Linked DNA regions of Arabidopsis thaliana. The protein of the gene in region 1 interacts with the protein of each later gene in a pairwise test. Each region holds a gene or a part of one and is shown in the gene's direction. Other genes may lie near its edges.

Region 1 (7,714 bases):
GGTTTAAGCTGCTACAACAGAGTGAAGTTGTTTTGACAGCCATTAACATCGACATTCTTCGAAGCCTCGAACAAGTTTTTTCTTCTCTCTAATCGAGTTAGACTCTGACCCACACGCTTGGGATTTTAATAGAGAGCACGTGGTTATTATATCTCGGTCTTATCTTATGGTAACAGTATCTCAAAGACTCAAACCACAAGGTATTGTGAAAATGTTAGAGGCAATCTAACAATAAATGTATAATTTGGTTAGCTTAAGCTCATCATAGAAATGGGCCTTTATGTCACCAAACCTATTTCACAACATAACACAAGAGCCCACAAAACAACGACTCCTTTCTCCACCAGAACAAGCACGACAAAGGCAAGAGAGTTGCAAAAGACCTATAAGATGATAACAATCGAAAAGATGTAAATTTTGAGAAAAATCAAAATAAACAAGAAAGATTTCATTGTTTTTCACTTTTTCTCCATTTCTACTTTGATTTTACATACTCTATGGGCCAACCAATTTCCAACCTAATGCTTGATAAAAAATGATTCGGTTTTACTATCTCAACAAATTGGGCCTACAACATCCAATTTCATGTAGTGACTTGTTTTTGCCTTTTTCACATCTCAACAAATTGGGTCGTTTGTATTTAAGAAATTGTTACAGCTTTTTAGACTGAATTTTACTTTATGGCTTTATGCTCTCTTTTTCCGTTTTGATTAAGGGTGAATATGTAAACTGTTGATACCATCTGATTTTTTTTATTTTTTATTTTTCTTGTGTGCAACTATACCATCTGAATTCAATTGACATTTTAGCCAAATAAAAAAGATTGGTCCACTTGGATGGCTGTAAAAAAGTTTAGTGGAAGTATTTATAGGGCTTGTTGGCAATCTTCACCAACGGCTATAATGTTGATCTTTTTAAAATTAAACTTACCGTTCGACTGTCTTCTCAACGATTTGACAATTAGCCGTTAGATTAGTATTACTGATTTATTATTAACAAACCCATTTCTTTTCTTATTTTTGAATAAGCTAAATCAGGCCAATAAAAGGGACAAGTAGAGATGGGCTATTTCTTTTTTTCTCTTTTTTTTTTTCTTATGTAGTAGAGAAAAGCCTTTATTCTTAGAGCTATCATTTACCACCCATTAACCAGAAGCTGAGAAATGAAGCAAGCCGAAACGAATTTGTAGTTTTGGACGGTGAAATTATATCGGGCCTTTAATGGGCATGTGAATAGAGTTGAGAGTCTTTTTGCCCCAAATAATCGTTTAAGGGAGTATTGGCTCGTTGGTTTAATATTGGGCCGAAACGAGATTGGGAAGAAGAACAATGTCGGTTTAATCCGGTTAGGGTCGTGGGCTGATTCTGGTTCACCTTTATAGCGTAAGCGAACAAACATTGAAAATGGGGAAGCCAAATTAGTTACCATCCCTAACTCAGTTTTGAGACGTAGTATGAATGAGCCACGGCAGAACCTACGACCTAACTCGATAAAGTAATGGTTACTCTTGGAGACGGAAGAAAGCACAAAGATTTTGATAAGGCTTTCTAGTTGGTGAAATGGTCAAAATCGCTCGGAGAGCCATCATAGGAGCGGGGAGGTGCTATCTGAATATCCCAATGCATCAAGACAAGATGGATTCAGAAAACAAAGAAATTAAACAAACATTTTAAAATATGCTCTTAGTTTTAGATAATATAATGTTTTCAATACCAATTATCTTACACTGATAGTGGTCAAGTTACTAATCACTTTTAATAAATTGGTGATAGTCAAACGTATTGAAAATTATCGATTTAAAAATATTTGAATTCAAAACCATTTTAGTGAAAGTTTGCATTGTAGTTTTGATTATCCGATCAATCTTTAATATAATTACGTCAATAATAACTGAAATCCTTGAATTAACCGTTACCCGATTCATAAGCACTACTTTCCGATCAAAACCAATGAGATAAAATAACTTTTAAACCCTCCAAATAAAAAGAGAAAACCTTAAAAACCAATTTCTGTTCGGTGGGGATGATGATCGGACTCGGACCGGTCTAACCGACTGGATTAAAAAGTCTTTAACAACGACAAGCTTAAAAATTTGCCTCTTAGTGGCTTCAAAACGCAATCGTTTCGCTTAATACTATTATTTTCTCTATCTCGTTTAACCAAAAAAAAAAACGAGTTGGAGGAAAAAAAAAACCAAGAAAAAAGAATAAAAAGCAAAAAGCATTGAGCGTCTCCGGAGATTAGGATTAAATTAGGGCATAACCCTTATCGGAGATTTGAAGCCATGGGAAGAAGAAAAATCGAGATCAAGCGAATCGAGAACAAAAGCAGTCGACAAGTCACTTTCTCCAAACGACGCAATGGTCTCATCGACAAAGCTCGACAACTTTCGATTCTCTGTGAATCCTCCGTCGCTGTTGTCGTCGTATCTGCCTCCGGAAAACTCTATGACTCTTCCTCCGGTGACGAGTAAGAAGATACTTTCCTTTTCTGGGTCTCACTCGATTTTTGTGCTTTTTTACTTTGTTTAATTACTTTCTCCATATAGAAGCTTCAAATCTAGGGCTTTTTGATTCCATCAAATCAACTGAGATTTTCTCCTTGTTTTCTGTATGAAGATAGCAGATGCGTAAGCTTTAACCTAATTTAAGACTAAACATTTTGATCGCCAAGATATGTTCTTGATGTTCGTTTCGTGTTTTTTTTTTCGTGTTTTTTTTTTTTTCATTTTAAAATCATTTTTATCTCTTTTTTTACCTTCATTTGTGACGAAATTTAATATTGCATGTTATTCAAGAAACTTTTCTACACGTGGTGATTCGTTCTTGATGTTGTTTAAGTAATCTTTGTATTGCTAGTTCCATCTGTTGTTCACTTTGAAGCTTCGTTTTTTCATATAAGAAACAATATGTTTAGATTGTTCAAATTTTGAGATTTGGTAATTATATTCAATATTGCAATGCACTTCAAGTAGTTTTGTTGAGAGATTATTTGGGGTTAGTGGTAACATTAATCGAATATCTTTGGTTCAAATTGGTTAACACATTGTACTTTATGTTGATCCAAAATGTATTGTAGATCTTTTCTTTTGTAATTCTCTTTAAGGAATAAGGTTTATCTAGTTGATTTTGATGGTTTATTGTAGTGCTGGGATAAGTTTCCACATTGATACTCGCCACACATTCTTCATTACTTAACTAATTGGATATCGATTTTAACCCTTTTAATCGTAATTTGTTGTGTGTTTATGACACCATACAAGATACATTATGTCTTACTGAGTGACTCTTTGTTGCTCTCTAAGATGTTGTAGTTTGGATTTCTTTGCTAAAGAAACTCAAACTATAACTGATTTTACTGCTACCATATATATGTCAGTGGCCTAGTAGGTTCATTAAGTAGAAATCGGTCGCCAATTTTACTAATTGGGAGAAACCACTAGACTACAACCAAATGTTCAATGACTTTAATAGTCTTCTGTTATTTGTCGTGGATATTTTTAACCCCATGAACTTTTGTATCTAGAAAAATCTCATCCACTTCTCTTTTAGAATACTTTGAATGCGACTAAAAGTGAGTTTTTTTTTTCTAATAGACCTAAGATAAAATCATCAATGGATAAGTAGGAAATGGAAAGGTAACTCTTGTCAGTATGTGTATATATACAGCTCCTTCTCATTTCCTTGATGTTGACTCCATAAATGCTTGATCATGAAAGCAAATTTGTTAAATTTGTAACCAACAAAATGCACAGACTATAGACGAAGTATTAGGAACCGTATCTATCTGTCTCCATTTTACAATAGTCAAGCTCTAGTTGTAGCTAGTTTCTTTATTTAGTTCTTATACCTTAACAAAGTGGCACTATGCAAAGTGTTTTTAGTTGAGATTAGTCGTCTTATGCGTCTTACTAATTGTTCATTTTTTCTTCTTTTTGTGATTGATGTAAAATTACTAAGTCACAACTTGAGATGTTACTAAAAAGATAAGAACGTGTAATAACTGAAGTGAATTTGAAGCCAGTCTCTATTCATATCATAGCATTAATAGATCATGGACAACACATATATAGGATTAGAGCTGTCATGACCTTCCCGGAAATGCTAAATCAGTTTCTTGGTTTATCCTTTTTGGAGTATCATGATATCATTTAGCCAAAGGTTTTTGGTTTCAGTATTCCGATTCGTTTGACGTTATGTGTGAAAGCGTCAATAACTAAAACTTGGATTGACTAGTCAAAATATAAACTGATTGCATTGAATTCTTGAAAATTTTCCCTTAAAATGAACATGAATTTCATCAAGATTTTGTCTTTTGGAAGGATGTGATTTATAATCTATACAATCATACATTTTGCATGATATTAGTTTTTTGAAGAACCAAAAATAGAGCTTCTTTATAAAACTGATTTAGCCTTGATAAGAAAAAGAAGGTAGATAATCGAACTCATGGGGATGAGTTAAAAATGTGTGCACTTAGTTTCTAAAACCTTTTGAAGTCGAAACAATGACAATATTGGCTGCGAAGTTGATATATAACAGGATCTTAAAGTTGAAATTGTAAATTCAGATTTTAATTTTAGAGCACCAGATGATCAGAGTTTCAGATTTACATTTGAAGTATAAAACATTTTGAACACATATATCTAAAGCAGTAACTTCAAAAATAGGGTAACTAATAGTAACTTACATTGTTTTTTTTAATGCTTTTATACTTACTATCATTTTTATATATAGATGCCTGGTTAAGTAAAGATGATTATCAAAAACTGTTGGTTAGTAACAGAAATTGTTGCAAATGTAACATATTATATAAGCTTTCTTTCACTTTGGTGCATTCTCTCTAAATAATGGCCTCTATTGATGCAGTATCTGATTCTTAGTTTTGAAATGGTTTTTGCATAAATTATTGTTCTAATGCATTTTTGTTTTATCTCCAGCATTTCCAAGATCATTGATCGTTATGAAATACAACATGCTGATGAACTTAGAGCCTTAGTAAGTAATTAGCTAAGAACGTCATTCTAATATTCTTCTGGATGCGGTTTTTGGTGTTATGAAGGATAGAAGCGCTGTTCAAGCCGGAGAAACCTCAATGTTTTGAACTCGTAACACCGAACTTAATTCTCTAGAGTTACAGTTATTGTGTCTACTGGAAAATACAAGAACTTCACAATCTTTCTGACCATTCCTTTTCTTCATGTGCAGGATCTTGAAGAAAAAATTCAGAATTATCTTCCACACAAGGAGTTACTAGAAACAGTCCAAAGGTTAGCAGTACGACACATTTTTCTCCCCTCTTCTTCTGATAAAAAAAATGTTTTTTTTCTTTTGTCTACTTGTGAATACAGCAAGCTTGAAGAACCAAATGTCGATAATGTAAGTGTAGATTCTCTAATTTCTCTGGAGGAACAACTTGAGACTGCTCTGTCCGTAAGTAGAGCTAGGAAGGTATATGTGCTGCTACTAAGTGATTCAACCAATTACTCCACAAAACCTTCTTTTTAGTTAGTTATCCTAGAACAATCTTTTGACATAAATCTTAATGTCTTGTTATAGGCAGAACTGATGATGGAGTATATCGAGTCCCTTAAAGAAAAGGTTAGTGCTTTGGTTTTTATTTTCGATAAAGGCCATATTCTAGGCTATGATGATTCTTGAATTCTATTAACCTGCTGAGTCTACAGATTACTATATATATATATATATATCTTTTGGTCTTGTCTTAGTTCCTGATTTAGTATTGGCTTCATTCAGGTGAAACCCTAATGAGAATTAAAAAAACAAGCAGTTTTAAACTCTTGATCAAATCCAACCTTTCCCTCATAAAGTGTCGAATTTGGATGAGGATGATTTATGTTTCGAGAAGGAAACATGTTTGGAAATAGCTATAGAAGTTGTTAGAAACTAATGACCTTATGATCTTTTCCAAACAGGAGAAATTGCTGAGAGAAGAGAACCAGGTTCTGGCTAGCCAGGTAACAATGACCACAATATCTTCTGCTCTTGAAGCTAATTAATCACTTTATACGTCCCCGTTATAGAGAGATACACATATACACGTACATGAAAACTAAAAGTTGAAGGACTTTGATGGATACTAGACAATTATAGTGAAACCCTAAATATGTGATAAGTGATAACAAAATGCTTTTAAAATCTATCTTTCTTGTTAATTTAGTAGCTGTCAGAGAAGAAAGGTATGTCTCACCGATGAAAGATACTCAAAACCCGGTATTTTTAATTTGTGAAATTTGCAAATAAAAAAAATGCTTTCTACAAGATAGATTAATTTCTTGCAATGTTTAGTAGCTGTAGAAAAAAAAGAAATGTAAGAAAGTTTCTTACAGATGGGAAAGAATACGTTGCTGGCAACAGATGATGAGAGAGGAATGTTTCCGGGAAGTAGCTCCGGCAACAAAATACCGGAGACTCTCCCGCTGCTCAATTAGCCACCATCATCAACGGCTGAGTTTTCACCTTAAACTCAAAGCCTGATTCATAATTAAGAGAATAAATTTGTATATTATAAAAAGCTGTGTAATCTCAAACCTTTTATCTTCCTCTAGTGTGGAATTTAAGGTCAAAAAGAAAACGAGAAAGTATGGATCAGTGTTGTACCTCCTTCGGAGACAAGATCAGAGTTTGTGTGTTTGTGTCTGAATGTACGGATTGGATTTTTAAAGTTGTGCTTTCTTTCTTCAGCGTGAAGAACCCTAGACCTTCTTATTTCTTTTTTTTTTTACTTTTTTTTTTTATAACTTTAATTATTTGATTATTTGTCTTACATTACGTGGCAAAGTTATTTAGTTGCATCTCTTTTAATTTGATCAAAACCATATCAGATATTTTGCTCTTTTTTCCAAGTTTAGTGATTCTGTTTTTGAGAGCTCCAAACTATATAAGATATTTTTCACCTTTTCCAAGTTTTATTATTTGTGTTTTTGAAGAACTCAAAAAAGCCAGCTTTTGAACTCTGTTTCATGTTTTGGTTCTTTCTGATGAATCCAGATCCATACAACCGTATGCCAAACTCACTGCTCGTATGTTGTTTAGTATAATATTACAGGATTCTCAACTTTTTACAAATACACATTTATGTACCGCTCTTTGTGTTCTTAGTCTTGAGAAACACTTGAGTAACTTGTTGAAGATCTGATATATCCAAAAAAGTTCTAAAGTCTAAACAATGCGGAATGAACTAGCTATCCTCTTCAGATCCTTGTAGTGTCTCTTCCATTGAAGACCTATAGAATCAAACATAAGCAGAGCAATTAACTATGTGTACAAACCAAACAAAAGGTGTTTGCTCTGTCTTTAAATCTCTGACTAGAAGAGAGGTTTTGCCTTACCGTTTCCGGTGACACTGAACAAGTAAAGGCGGTTTCCGGCAGCTGTTGCAGTTATCAGTACATGAGGCGGCTCTAGCTCGAATTGGTAATAGAGTCTACCATCGTGTTCTGCAACATTGGAACTTAACACCTTCCCTTCTACGTTTTCTCCAATAACTTCTGGTCCAAACGCGTTAATCACCTTCGCTGGTTGTCCAATATTTTCAATCTTAACATCGTCCCCGAGGTCTGTATAAGTGGAACACACAAATCAATCAATCTACGAGTACAAATAGACAAGATTGCATTGCCTATATAACTCAAAAGAGTAAAGTTGATGAATCTTTAATAGCAGAGACAACTTACTATCTGCAAATCTAAGAA
Region 2 (4,249 bases), on another chromosome or scaffold:
AACTCACTGGAGATTCGCCAGAGAGATGGCTCGGCGGAGAATTCACGCAGCCGGAGAAGACGATCGGAAGAAGACACGCTCACCAGAGAAAGCAAATCGAGATTTGTTTCCTCTCTTTTAGTTGGGCCTTTAATTTAGTTCAGGCCTGCTTTAAGCCCATATATTCCTAATCTTCTTATTCCTCGTGAAGCTTAAAACGTATTTCTAGAGCCGTTGAGGGATTTGCTATATGGGGGAAGACTCTGTTCCACCCACCTATATCAGAATTCAGAACCATTTTATATGCTTCAAATGACAAAAGAAAAATGTTTTTAAAATATTGGAATTCAATTGTGCAAGTTTCGGTATAATTTGTTTAGGTGATCCTTGCAAGTTGCAACAACTACTTAACGGTTTTTGAGAAGCCTTGTAAAAAAGGTTTTGTTAGGATGGTGATGATGAATGTATGATGGGTGACGACTAATTATGTTTATGATTTTATTTATTTATTTATAAAGTATATGCTTTGCTTAGGTTGAGTAGTGAAGCTAGCTAGTTGGCAAGTAATGGCTTCTTTTGGCGGCCAAGCAATTCTCTATCTCTCTTTCACACACACAATCCTCGACGCCAAGACTTAAATCAATTCCTCCTGATTTATTCATTTTAAAATTGTGATGATACTAGCTTCACAATACACTCAAAAATATTCTTCTTAATGATCTATTGTATGTATAGTAACACGTTAGCAAAAGATAATCATTGAGAGCCAAAGACAACTAATGTGTATAGAGTTGAATGAGTAAAAGTTGGATATCAATCCAGCTCTAAGAAACTCATTATGTAGAATGAATATTAAAAAAACATGTGTTTCTTGAATTTTATAAATTGCTGTCACCGAGTTTATTAGTATACTATACTACAAAGACCTAGACTACAGTTACAAACTACGATAAGGGAGGTTACTTCATCGAATACATATTATTAGCTAATCACAAGATTAATAATGGTTTGATCAAATAATTGGATAACCAAAATAAAAATCAAAGTTTCTTAGAAAGAGGCGCAAACATAGGGAGTGATATTATATATTTAATTCGTTTTAGCTAATATCATTATAACTAAATATTGTATACATAACTAGAATCATGATTCATAATTGTGTGTTGTGTAATTGTGGGTTGGCTCAACTGCACATGAACTGCTCGACCCCAAAATTCGATTGCCTTTTACTTTCCAATTAATTAACTTAATTATTTAATCAGCAACTTAAGTGTACATATATCCGCAATGATTAGTAGTATTAAGAAACAAAAACAGAATTCGACGTATTTTCAAGTTAAATTTGTACTTTAGTAGCTTTTATATATAATAGTTGGTTTCAAATCTTTAATGTAATTTGTTACAAAACGTAATAAGTTTGCAGGAATTTATAATATGCTTGAATTGTGTGTGTTGTGGTACTGTGTTTCGTGTTGAAACTACTTGTGGATGACTCAAGCCATCAATATAAAATTATTTATAAAGTTTTAGGATTTTAGTTAGTGATAATGTGAAATCAAAGGAAAAAAAATCAATAAATTGAGTGGCATATTTAGAATACGCAATCCAGTTTGATTCTTCTTAATATAATACATTACATTCCAAGTGTCAAAATTGTAGTTCATTTTATTAATAAGAAAAAATGGTATATGTAGAATGACACCTTCTTGAACAGAAAACACAGATTTAATTTCATTTTCAGAAAGAAAATAAAATAACATCTTCTAAGATTAGTGTTGACATTGAATCCACATTTTTGTTACTTTAGCTATAATGATGTGTGTCTTTTGAAATTATAAGGATGCTTATGAGTATTTAATAAGTAAAATACTAGTATTTTTTTTTATGTGATTCATAAGACAAGCAAAACAAAAGTTAACCAAAAAAAGAGAAAATCATTTAAAAAAAATTGAAAGGAAAAAAATAAAAACAAGAAGAGAACAACAAGTGGTTCCAGGCTTGCAAACCAAAACTTCCAGAAAGGAATCCTTCACCAAAAGTTATTTTGGGTTTGCTTCTTTTCTCATCTTTTCTCTTACCCATTACATTATATATACACACAATACTATTGTGTGTATAAACAAATACAATCACATACAAATATATATAAATACTTAGACATATAAACCAAACCCACCAAACACTCTTTGATACTTCTCTCCATATATACATATACGACCTCTTGTGTTCTTGAAATACAGAGAGCAAATAAAAAACGGAGGATCATGACAAGTGTTCTTGAGGAGAGTGGAGACCACGCGCGTCTTGTTCTCCTCATCAAGGGCAAACGCACCAAACGTCAGCGTTCTGCGTCTCCTCTTATGATGAACGCTGCTGCAGTATCCAGCGTTTGTAGCGGTGAACGATCATCAGTGGAGGTAAGAGAAGAAGAAGCTGCTGGTGAAGTAGAATTCCAAGGAGCTACCGATGAAGACGAAGATATGGCGAATTGTCTGATCTTGTTGTCGCAAGGACATCAAGCAAAGAGCAGCGACGATCATTTGTCGATGCAGAGAATGGGTTTCTTTAGCAACAAGAAACCGGTGGCTTCTCTAGGGTTAGGGCTAGACGGTGTTTACCAGTGCAAAACGTGTGATAAAAGCTTCCATTCGTTCCAAGCGCTAGGAGGGCACAGGGCTAGTCACAAGAAGCCAAAACTTGGAGCTAGCGTTTTCAAATGCGTCGAGAAGAAAACGGCGTCTGCGTCTACGGTTGAAACAGTGGAAGCTGGAGCCGTAGGAAGCTTTCTTTCCCTACAAGTGACTAGTAGTGATGGTAGCAAGAAACCGGAGAAAACACATGAATGTTCAATCTGCAAGGCCGAGTTTTCTTCAGGACAAGCCTTAGGAGGACATATGAGGAGACATAGAGGTTTAACAATAAACGCAAACGCTACTTCAGCAATCAAAACAGCGATATCATCATCAAGTCATCATCACCATGAAGAATCTATACGGCCAAAGAACTTTCTCCAGTTAGATCTGAATCTTCCAGCACCCGAAGATGAACGATGCTGCGAGAAACCGAAATTCGCGTTTGCATCCAAAGATCAGATTCTTCTCTTCACGGCCGCGTCAAATTCTTTGATTGATTGTCATCACTAATTAAGTAGTTCTTTGTAATTACTTTTTTATTACATTGATATGTTAAATCATTAACCCTTCTCTTATTATTGTCCATTCATTCTTGTAATCTGACATTGATTGAATTAACTTCAAATTATTTCATTCTTTGAAACTACTCATTGCTCCATAATTTAGCACATTTCTAATAATCATCAATATATACACAATAGTATATAAGTATGTGATACTTAACTTTGGGAGAATGATGAAAGATGCTGAGGATGTTCCTTGGAGAACGGAAGAAGCATGTGACGATGACTTTCGCATAAAGTCACTTCGTTTGTTAGCCGCCACTAACTCCTTTGGATACACTTCACTTCCGTTTGGGGTTTTTCGTTTTTTCAGATTCTTTTCTGATATAATAATACATATATCATTTTCATTAGAGTAAATCAAAAGACTACATCTATAATAATCTACAAAGACTCGTTCAAAAATCGGATCTAAAGCGTGTTTTGAGAGTCCAATGTTGAAGTATACAGTAGATGTGATTTGATCCCTAGCTTCGACTATATACTATCGAATTTTTTTATTATCGAATGTGTTTTTCACTAGAAAATACGATAATATACTGACCGATGTCTTGAGATTTTGGACATATATCACAAGACATTCATGTAGCAACAAACGAATCTTCATGATCATGTTATGTAGTATGGGAAACTAACAGTAAACTGTTACAAACTTATTGATATGATATATGCTACAACATCTTCTAGAAATAGGAGCTATTACTACGCTACGTACTGTTAATGGTATAATGGTATCTCTATATCGATCATGTCATGTCTTTATATAGTTTATGACTCAATGACTCATCTATATCTTTCTTTTGAAAATAAGAACATGATATGTAGAGAAAGTGCAACTTCTTACTACTAACAAAACGAATGAATATTCCTAACATTTAAATAGAAATAAAGGACATTTGAAAACGATTGATAGGAAAAGTGATACTGTGATTAACGATGTCTTCTACAAATACATTGGATTATATATAATGCCTTTTATCTCCACTAAAAATTGTTGACAGAAAAACCATAATCGCTCCGATCGAAAAGCTCAGAACATAAAATTGAAAACGAGAGTGGTACCCTCAAACTGTT
Region 3 (4,384 bases), about 28 Mb from region 1:
TTTTCTTTTCATAATTTCCTAACAATAAGTATTTGAAATTCAAACATATTCTGTTGTTATATAAGGAGTAAACAAGCTTACGAAAATATATTAAAGTTCGAGGGTTTATCACATATGTAACATTAAACAGTTCAAAATGGAAGAGCTATATGAGTATTGGCTTATACCTTCATATTGCTTCTGTAACAGAACTTATGCCTGATTTTACCATTTGCAATCATGTCGTTTCTTTTAATTTTCAGGTACTTCTCCTATGAGCACTTCTACGTGATATACTGCAAATTTTGGGAACTTGATGGTGACCATGATTGTTTTATTGATAAGGACAATCTCATCAAATATGGTAATAATGCCCTTACCTACAGGATTGTTGATAGAATATTTTCACAGGTTGGTTCCCAAAATTGTTCCTGCCTAGACCTTCTTAAAAGCTAAGTTATATAGTATGATGTGATCCTTTTTATTTGATCTCCATGCGTCTTGTGGCTATGTTTCTCTTTTAGATTCCAAGGAAGTTTACGAGTAAAGTTGAAGGGAAGATGAGTTATGAAGATTTTGTGTACTTCATTCTCGCTGAGGAAGACAAGTCTTCCGAGCCTAGTCTTGAGTATTGGTACACATCTCCCCCTCCGTGTTGATATTGGTTTTCCTTAATGAATGTTGCCCCTTGGTTTAGATCACAAGATCTTGATATATATACTACAACGGAGTCAAAACCAGTGACTTGAGGACTTGTTACTTGTAACAAGTCCTCTTCCTCAGATATATTTAGTAATCATTGTATGGTACCATTTTTTCATGAACATAGGATCCTTGTTTATACTCGGGCACTAACAATCTAACAATCTGATACTAGTTTATAGCCTAGTATGCTCATCTATCTATTATGGATGTCAAAACTCAATATTTTTGCAAGTCCGTGTATTTTACTTGACACTGATTGAAATTTTCCGTGCAGGTTCAAATGCGTAGACTTGGATGGAAATGGGGTAATCACTTCAAACGAAATGCAGTTTTTCTTCGAAGAGCAGCTGCATCGCATGGAATGCATAACCCAGGAAGCTGTTCTTTTCAGTGATATCCTATGTCAAATAATTGACATGATTGGACCCGAGGTTAGTTACTTTACAAACCAGAACATGGTTGTTTGATTTTTCCGAGCTTTTTTGTTATTTATCATTTATTTGACTGGAATCATCTATATGGTGGATGTCCTTGCAGAAGGAGAACTGTATCACCCTCCAGGATCTGAAAGGATCGAAACTTTCAGCAAACGTTTTCAATATACTCTTCAACCTTAATAAGTTCATGGCATTTGAAACACGTGACCCATTTCTCATTCGCCAGGTAAGTTTGGCTTACCAGTGGAGTTTTTATAGCACTCAAGAGGGAAAAAAATAACAAAGAATATGACTTCTTTTAACTGCTAAAGGCAGTTTGTAGTAGTTCGGATTGAGGCAATTAGAACAAGTATAATTCTCTTTCATTGCTGTAGGAACGGGAAGATCCAAATTTGACAGAGTGGGATCGATTTGCTCAGAGAGAGTATGCGAGATTGTCAATGGAGGAAGATGTAGATGAAGTCTCAAATGGGAGTGCAGATGTCTGGGATGAACCACTCGAACCTCCATTTTAGTCCATAGTGGTAAGTTCACACTGCTTGTGTATAGGAAATGCAAATGCTTATAAAATTCTGTGATTTATTGAGTCGAAAGCCGATCTTGACTACAGAAACCAACCAAATAAGGAGACTTATGATTTGAGGTTTTCCCTGGAGAGAGATCCATGATCAGAGATTGGAGGTCACTGTTGGTTGTTACCAGACGCTTTCATCATCATTTCCAAAAGAGTCTCAGCCAAATTCATGAAATTTTTGCAATTTTGTTTTGGTTTCATTATAAAGATTATATCAAGTTGGGCCCTCTCTCCCTCTACATCATCTAGTGTCCATATAACCAGTTGGATTGTCCAACTCAGAATGTACTCATAAATCTGAATTGTTAAACTCTTTTAGTCTTTACTGTCACACGAATATATTTTCAGAAAGAAATCTGAATTGTAAATCTCTTTAGTTGCACTGATATCTTTTTCATAAAAAAAAAAAGAGAAAGAAATCTGAATAGTAAATCTTTTTTCTTAATTAAAAAGAAAAGAAAAAACATCTCCTTATAGTATAGTTGATAGAAGGTGCAAGTCACGCGTTTAATGTGCGCGTGATTAGTTAATTAAACTTGTATATAGAGAGTAAGCGCGTGGTTACATTGCAAAACACTAGAGATAACCCTAGAAAGATCTCTCTCGATCTCTGGTTCGAAGAAAATCCACCATTTCCGATTGTTCTTTCTCTTTGACAAAACCCAGATAGATAAAAATTCGTTCCAATTCCAGTGAGCTCCGGAAATGGCGTCCTTCAAGTTGATGTCTTCTTCCAATTCCGACTTGTCTCGCCGTAATTCTTCTTCTGCTTCATCTTCCCCTTCTATAAGATCATCGCACCATCTCCGACCAAATCCTCACGCCGATCACTCCAGAATCAGTTTCGCTTACGGCGGAGGAGTCAACGATTACACTTTCGCGTCTGATTCAAAGCCCTTCGAGATGGCGATTGATGTTGATCGGAGTATCGGAGATCGGAACAGCGTTAACAACGGAAAGAGTGTTGACGATGTTTGGAAAGAGATTGTATCTGGAGAGCAAAAGACGATCATGATGAAGGAAGAAGAACCAGAAGATATAATGACACTTGAGGATTTCTTAGCGAAAGCAGAAATGGACGAGGGAGCTTCAGATGAAATCGATGTGAAGATTCCAACGGAGAGACTCAACAACGACGGTAGCTATACATTTGATTTTCCGATGCAGCGACACAGTTCGTTCCAGATGGTTGAAGGATCAATGGGTGGAGGAGTAACGAGAGGAAAGAGAGGGAGAGTGATGATGGAGGCAATGGATAAAGCTGCAGCTCAGAGACAGAAGAGGATGATCAAGAACCGTGAATCCGCTGCTAGGTCTCGAGAGAGGAAACAGGCTTATCAGGTTGAGTTAGAGACTTTGGCTGCCAAGTTAGAGGAGGAGAATGAGCAGCTTTTGAAGGAGATTGAAGAGAGCACTAAAGAGAGATACAAGAAGCTCATGGAGGTTCTGATTCCGGTCGATGAGAAACCAAGGCCACCGTCGAGGCCCTTAAGCAGGAGCCATTCCTTGGAATGGTGAAGTGTGGTAAAAAAAACTTTTGTATGTAAAAAAAATAAAAACATATGGGCTTGATTACTATATTATAATCTATATAGTAAAGTGATGGTGATATGGTTAGTACTTAGTTACCTGTAATGTATCTAAGGGATGTAATGGATAATACATAGCTTTTTGCTGATTTATAAGATATCTATGGACCAGACTAGATGGGATAAATTCTTTTTCTCCCTAACAATTTTGTTGGTCGATTCAAATTAGAAAGTGGTTGGTTGTGTTTGATTAGGCAGGAGCAGAGAGTTCTTCGTCTTCTTTATTCTCCTGGCATCGTTTTAGCATCTCAAGTTGGCGTCGTAGATGCAAAACCTGTAACCCACCAAAGGAAAACGATTTAACTTAGCTGACTTTACTACATATTTCTCATCTAATGGATTCTGGAGTTCAGCCTTAAAAAAGAGTCAGCTTCAGAAGGTAATCCTCAGACTATATAACTGAGTTTCATTTCTGTTTCTTATCCTAAGAATTAGAAGATATATAACTCAGACTCCAAGTGAAGAGTTGGCTTAGTTATGTACCTCTTGTTGAAGCAAAGTCGGGTGGCTAACCATGGAAATGAGCTGTTTCATTTCTTGCAAAAGTGACTGGTCTTTGATACCTGACCACGTCTGTGGAGGTAAAGCCAACAGAAGAGCAGTGAACACATCGTTCCCGGATGGGTAAGCTACCACTGTCACTTTCTCCTCACCAAGACCTTGATGTAAAACAAGAAATTCAAAGAAAAAAGTGATTTCTTGATTAGAACTTTGCACACTACTAACTTCAAGCCAAGGTTTCTGAAGCGCTTAGAAAGATAACCAGAATGTAAGAACAAACATACCTTTGATACATTTGACACAAGTTTCCTTACAACAGGATTCATCTGATTCATATCCCGATAAGATTTCATCTCCGTCACAATAAACCTTAGCAGCAACATATGGCAGATTGTCTTCGTACACAGAGGAGAGAAACTTATCCACATGCTTGAACAGTTTAGTTTCTTGCACTTGTTTCAGTAACTCTTGCTACAGCAAAACGAACCATAGAACAGTGATGAATAAACTGATGGAATATAAACATGGAAAACTAAAGTTCAGAAGCAAATGGACAAGATAATACCTTTAATTTGAGCCTTGATTTCTCTTCTGAGCTA
Region 4 (3,878 bases), about 12 Mb from region 1:
CAAGAGAGCAAGAGATCTAACTAAAGTGGTTAGATATGTGAGAATTACAACACAATGTCATATATGTATACATCAGAATATTAAACCTACAAAACAAAAGTAGCTCTGGAAATCTCAATAATGTAGTCTCTTAGAAGGATCCACAAAGGCCACAGAGAAGAAAACATAATGCTTAATAACAAAGATGAACAATGTGGATTTTGCCAGAATATTTATGGCTGTGAGCTTGTTTCTTCAAGAAGTCTCTACCTTTTAACTTCTCAAAAATCAAGTTTCTTAAACAAGTCTTCAATGCTGAGGATGTCACAGAAGAAGTCTTCAACAAACCTGTAGCCATGTTTTGATCACAGAAGAATCAGTACTTATATGTTTCTAATTGATACAAGATTCTTCTCCAGCAAAACCCTGATTTCTTCTTCCAAATCTCACTTGTTCTTCTTTCAGAATCTTCCATACGAATCTTTGATTCTGTTGTAATTCTCACAATCTCTCTATTTCTCACACTCCTTTACGGTTTCATTGTCTTTAGAGAGAAAGAACAAAAACTATTTTCTTTTAATCTTCTACTTTGATAATATTCTTGGATACTCTTACACAACACAAACAACACATACATATAGTGGTTTTGCTCCACTTGGTAGACTACACACACTTAGACTCTAGACCACATCATTGTCCTAAGACTTACATCATCCACTCTACTATGTTGGAACTCCAACACCTTAATTCACTCTCTTAGTTTACTTTAGTTGTCACAACCTCTTCTTGTTGGACCTTAACTAGACAACTTGTACAAAACACTTATTCGTATGGGCCTTATCTCATTACCTATGACCCAACACACAAAACACAAACCCATTTGGTTTGTTGACTTTCTTCTCTTCCTTTGACTCCTCTCTTCACGACGTCTCTTCTCCGCCATCGTCTTCTTCTTCCGTTGCTTCTTCCTTTGTTCTTCATCTTCTTCTTCTCACCAAGCTTGTTATTCTTGTAGGATTTAGTTTAGGATACTCAATTCCAACAGATTCTCGTAATCTCCATATCTAGATCCTCTTCCGAATCCGTAATCACCAATTCACCATTATCAACCAAAAGCTTGAGTTTTTGTTGTGTATCGGACATTGATTCACCAGCATAAAACAGAGATTCCATACTAGGGTTTGAGATTGTATTCTTCAATACTGTGTCGTCTTCTTCTTCCTCACAAAGTTTGCAATTTTGGTTTTTGGATTCGTAACGGTCACAAAGAGAAGAAGAGAGGCTCCTAAATATTTTGTTGTATTGACGCTTTTACCCTTCATAACGGTCTTATTTTATTGACCGTTGACCAAACCGGTTAAAGGAAGAATTTGCATGTTGGTTTACTCGTCCTCCTTCGCTTATTAGACAATCAGTAGTAAACAAATTCACCGACTAAACCAAAAATTCCACTAAATACAGATTCGGTTTAACTAAACCGGTCTTTGTTTGTATTAGATGGTTTTGAGTAATTTACTTTTAGAAAAGGAAACAGTTTTAATTTTTCGTTTAATTACCGATTAGGGTATTATCAGTAAAAAAGGAAATCAAAATCGATGTTGTTTCAGGTGGTTTTGTGTACTAATTACTTTCAAAAAAGGAAAACAAGTTTATTTAGTCGTTTAATTACTGATTAGCAATTATCAGAAAAAGGAAATAACATGGATTAATTAGAAAACGAGTTAGGGCTACTAAGTCTATATATATATCTATCTGATTAGAACGAGAGTGAGTCCATTATCATATTCTTCTTTCGCAACAAGCGGCAGCACACAAAACTCTCAAGTCTTGTCTCGTTCTCTTTTGTTTGTGAAACTGAGAAAAAAAACAGAATGGGTGGCGTGAAGAGGAAGATTGCTATAGAGAAGATACAGAACAAAAATCCACGAGCGGTTTCATTCTCCAAACGTCGTAAGGGTCTGTATAGCAAAGCTTCTGAACTTTGTCTTCTCTCGGACGCAGAGATTGCGATCATAGCGACTCCTGTTTCTTCTAATTCCAACGCCGCTTTCTACAGTTTTGGCCACTCCTCTGTTGATAATGTCGTCGCTGCTTTTCTCGCCAATCAGCGTCCTTGTGATGAAAGGTTTTGGTGGGAAGATGAGAGTCTTCTAAAATCAGAGAATCTGGAGGAGTTGAGAGAGGCGATGGATTCAATGTCGACTATGTTGCGAGATCTCAAGGAGTTGGAGAAGCAAAGAGATCATCAAACGCAAACCCTAATTCATCAGCCGTGTTCTGCAAGGGTTTGCATTCAAGATTATGTAACTGTGAATTTCGATGGGTTTAACACGGAAGAGCAAACCCTAGCGGTTTCTGACAATAGTAACAACAACGGTTTACTTGGAAACTTGGATGAGTGCAATGAAGATTTTGATGATCTCGATCAAATCTTCGATACGGTGACAAACTCTGAATTTTTATCGGTGAATTTGGAGATGGATGATGTAACTGTGAATTCTGAAGGGAACACGGAAGAGCAAACCCTAGCGGTTTCTGACAATAGCAACAACAACGGTTTACTTGGAAACTTGGATGAGTGCAATGAAGATTTTGATGATCTCGATCAAATCATTGAGTATTTGACAAGCTCTGAAGCTTTATCCATGAATTTAAAGATGGATGATGTCTGATGCATGCCTCTATGGTGACAATTTGTGTTTATGTTGAAATTGGATCCTTGATTTAAGTATTGCTTCGGTTTAGTATATCTTTGTATGTCTTTTATCAGCTTATGACTTTATTTGATCTGCGTGATATTTTCGTATATCTAACCAAAACATAAGAGCATCCCCAACCACAATACACCAAATTTTAACACCAAATTTGATATTTTGGTGTTTCAATTGTTTTATCATCTCCAACCATAACACCAATTTCACACTAAAAATATTACTTTTTATTATAATATTATTAAACTTAAGATTTTCTTTATTTTTTTAATAGTTTGATATACATAACATATTTCATAACTAAATTATTTTAACTTAATTAATATAAGATTACAATCGATAAATTGAAAATAACAAAAAAAAATTACATTGTACTAATTCTCAGAATTAGTATATACGGACCACAAGTGTTCAATTAATGCATTTCGAAGTTTAATATGAGCTTCACGGTCTTTGATTTTCCTGTGTCGAGCTAAAAATTCTTGAAATCGACCATCATCGATCGTCTCCCGCCGTTTCATCTTCTAGAGTTGGGACCTCGGCTCTTTCTTCAATACTTGCATCAAAATCACGTTCATCCTCTATGTCATATTATGCATTATGATACAAGTAGTTATAATATCATGTAACACTTTCTTACTCCATAAACGTGTTGGTCCAGCCACAATTGCAAAATCTGAGATCTTTCATAGTCAACCAAGACCAAAAAGATCTTTACAAACTCGAATGACAACGATTCTTTCTGCTGTCTCCAAGCTAAGAGGATGTGTAACCAGATTGAAAACAAGAATCCTAGCGGTGCTTCCGAGCATGACATTGTAAGTATACATACTTGAGTTAGTTGTTCATGCTCTACCATTATTAATTTATTTTACTTGCTAATTTTCATTTTTCTTGTCAATATCAAAACAGTTAAACCAAGCGAAGATGTTATTAACACAATATGGCAATTACAAGACAGGATTCAAATTCGATCATGTTTGGCCTATCCTTAAAGGTATTGAGAAATTTCAAATAACCACATTAATAGAGGCGATGCATTTCAAGAAGAAAGTCGTAATGTTATGTCATCTCCATCATTCCAAGATGAGTCATCACCATCCCTCGGTATGAATTCTTTCGATCTAAATACGAGTAGTGAAGATGCCCCCTTAAATTTATCTCAGAGACCTATGGGTGTGAAAAAAG

Evidence for each region.
Region 2: the proteins of MAF1 (region 1) and AT5G03510 interact in a two-hybrid assay, tested with the Arabidopsis thaliana proteins (one large-scale study listed by BioGRID).
Region 3: the proteins of MAF1 (region 1) and GBF4 interact in a two-hybrid assay, tested with the Arabidopsis thaliana proteins (one large-scale study listed by BioGRID).
Region 4: the proteins of MAF1 (region 1) and AGL97 interact in a two-hybrid assay, tested with the Arabidopsis thaliana proteins (one large-scale study listed by BioGRID).

The regions. Positions count from the first base shown.
Region 1 is NC_003070.9:28,953,395-28,961,108, forward strand, and holds MAF1 (K-box region and MADS-box transcription factor family protein), read left to right. Parts: upstream 1-2,127; 5' UTR 2,128-2,284; coding exon 2,285-2,469; exon of another isoform or gene 2,470-4,916; coding exon of another isoform or gene 4,917-4,939; coding exon 4,940-4,997; intron 4,998-5,061; coding exon of another isoform or gene 5,062-5,107; intron 5,108-5,207; coding exon 5,208-5,450; intron 5,451-5,558; coding exon 5,559-5,600; coding exon of another isoform or gene 5,601-5,660; exon of another isoform or gene 5,661-5,756; coding exon of another isoform or gene 5,757-5,768; exon of another isoform or gene 5,769-5,935; coding exon 5,936-5,977; coding exon of another isoform or gene 5,978-6,019; exon of another isoform or gene 6,020-6,183; coding exon of another isoform or gene 6,184-6,216; exon of another isoform or gene 6,217-6,349; coding exon 6,350-6,451; 3' UTR 6,452-6,717; downstream 6,718-7,714. Other genes in the region: AT1G77060 (Phosphoenolpyruvate carboxylase family protein), read right to left, coding at 1-55; AT1G77090 (thylakoid lumenal protein (Mog1/PsbP/DUF1795-like photosystem II reaction center PsbP family protein)), read right to left, coding at 7,182-7,246, 7,352-7,579, 7,697-7,714. UniProt on the Arabidopsis thaliana protein: Probable transcription factor involved in the negative regulation of flowering time in both long and short days, probably through the photoperiodic and vernalization pathways. Prevents premature flowering.
Region 2 is NC_003076.8:878,110-882,358, forward strand, and holds AT5G03510 (C2H2-type zinc finger family protein), read left to right. Parts: upstream 1-2,038; 5' UTR 2,039-2,243; coding exon 2,244-3,122; 3' UTR 3,123-3,238; downstream 3,239-4,249.
Region 3 is NC_003070.9:1,015,837-1,020,220, forward strand, and holds GBF4 (G-box binding factor 4), read left to right. Parts: upstream 1-2,263; 5' UTR 2,264-2,400; coding exon 2,401-3,213; 3' UTR 3,214-3,411; downstream 3,412-4,384. Other genes in the region: AT1G03960 (Calcium-binding EF hand family protein), read left to right, coding at 243-390, 504-613, 959-1,115, 1,222-1,347, 1,496-1,636; PCS2 (phytochelatin synthase 2), read right to left, coding at 3,475-3,558, 3,768-3,943, 4,070-4,256, 4,351-4,384. UniProt on the Arabidopsis thaliana protein: Binds to the G-box motif (5'-CCACGTGG-3') of the rbcS-1A gene promoter. G-box and G-box-like motifs are cis-acting elements defined in promoters of certain plant genes which are regulated by such diverse stimuli as light-induction or hormone control.
Region 4 is NC_003070.9:17,230,908-17,234,785, reverse strand, and holds AGL97 (AGAMOUS-like 97), read left to right. Parts: upstream 1-1,834; 5' UTR 1,835-1,850; coding exon 1,851-2,651; downstream 2,652-3,878. UniProt on the Arabidopsis thaliana protein: Putative transcription factor.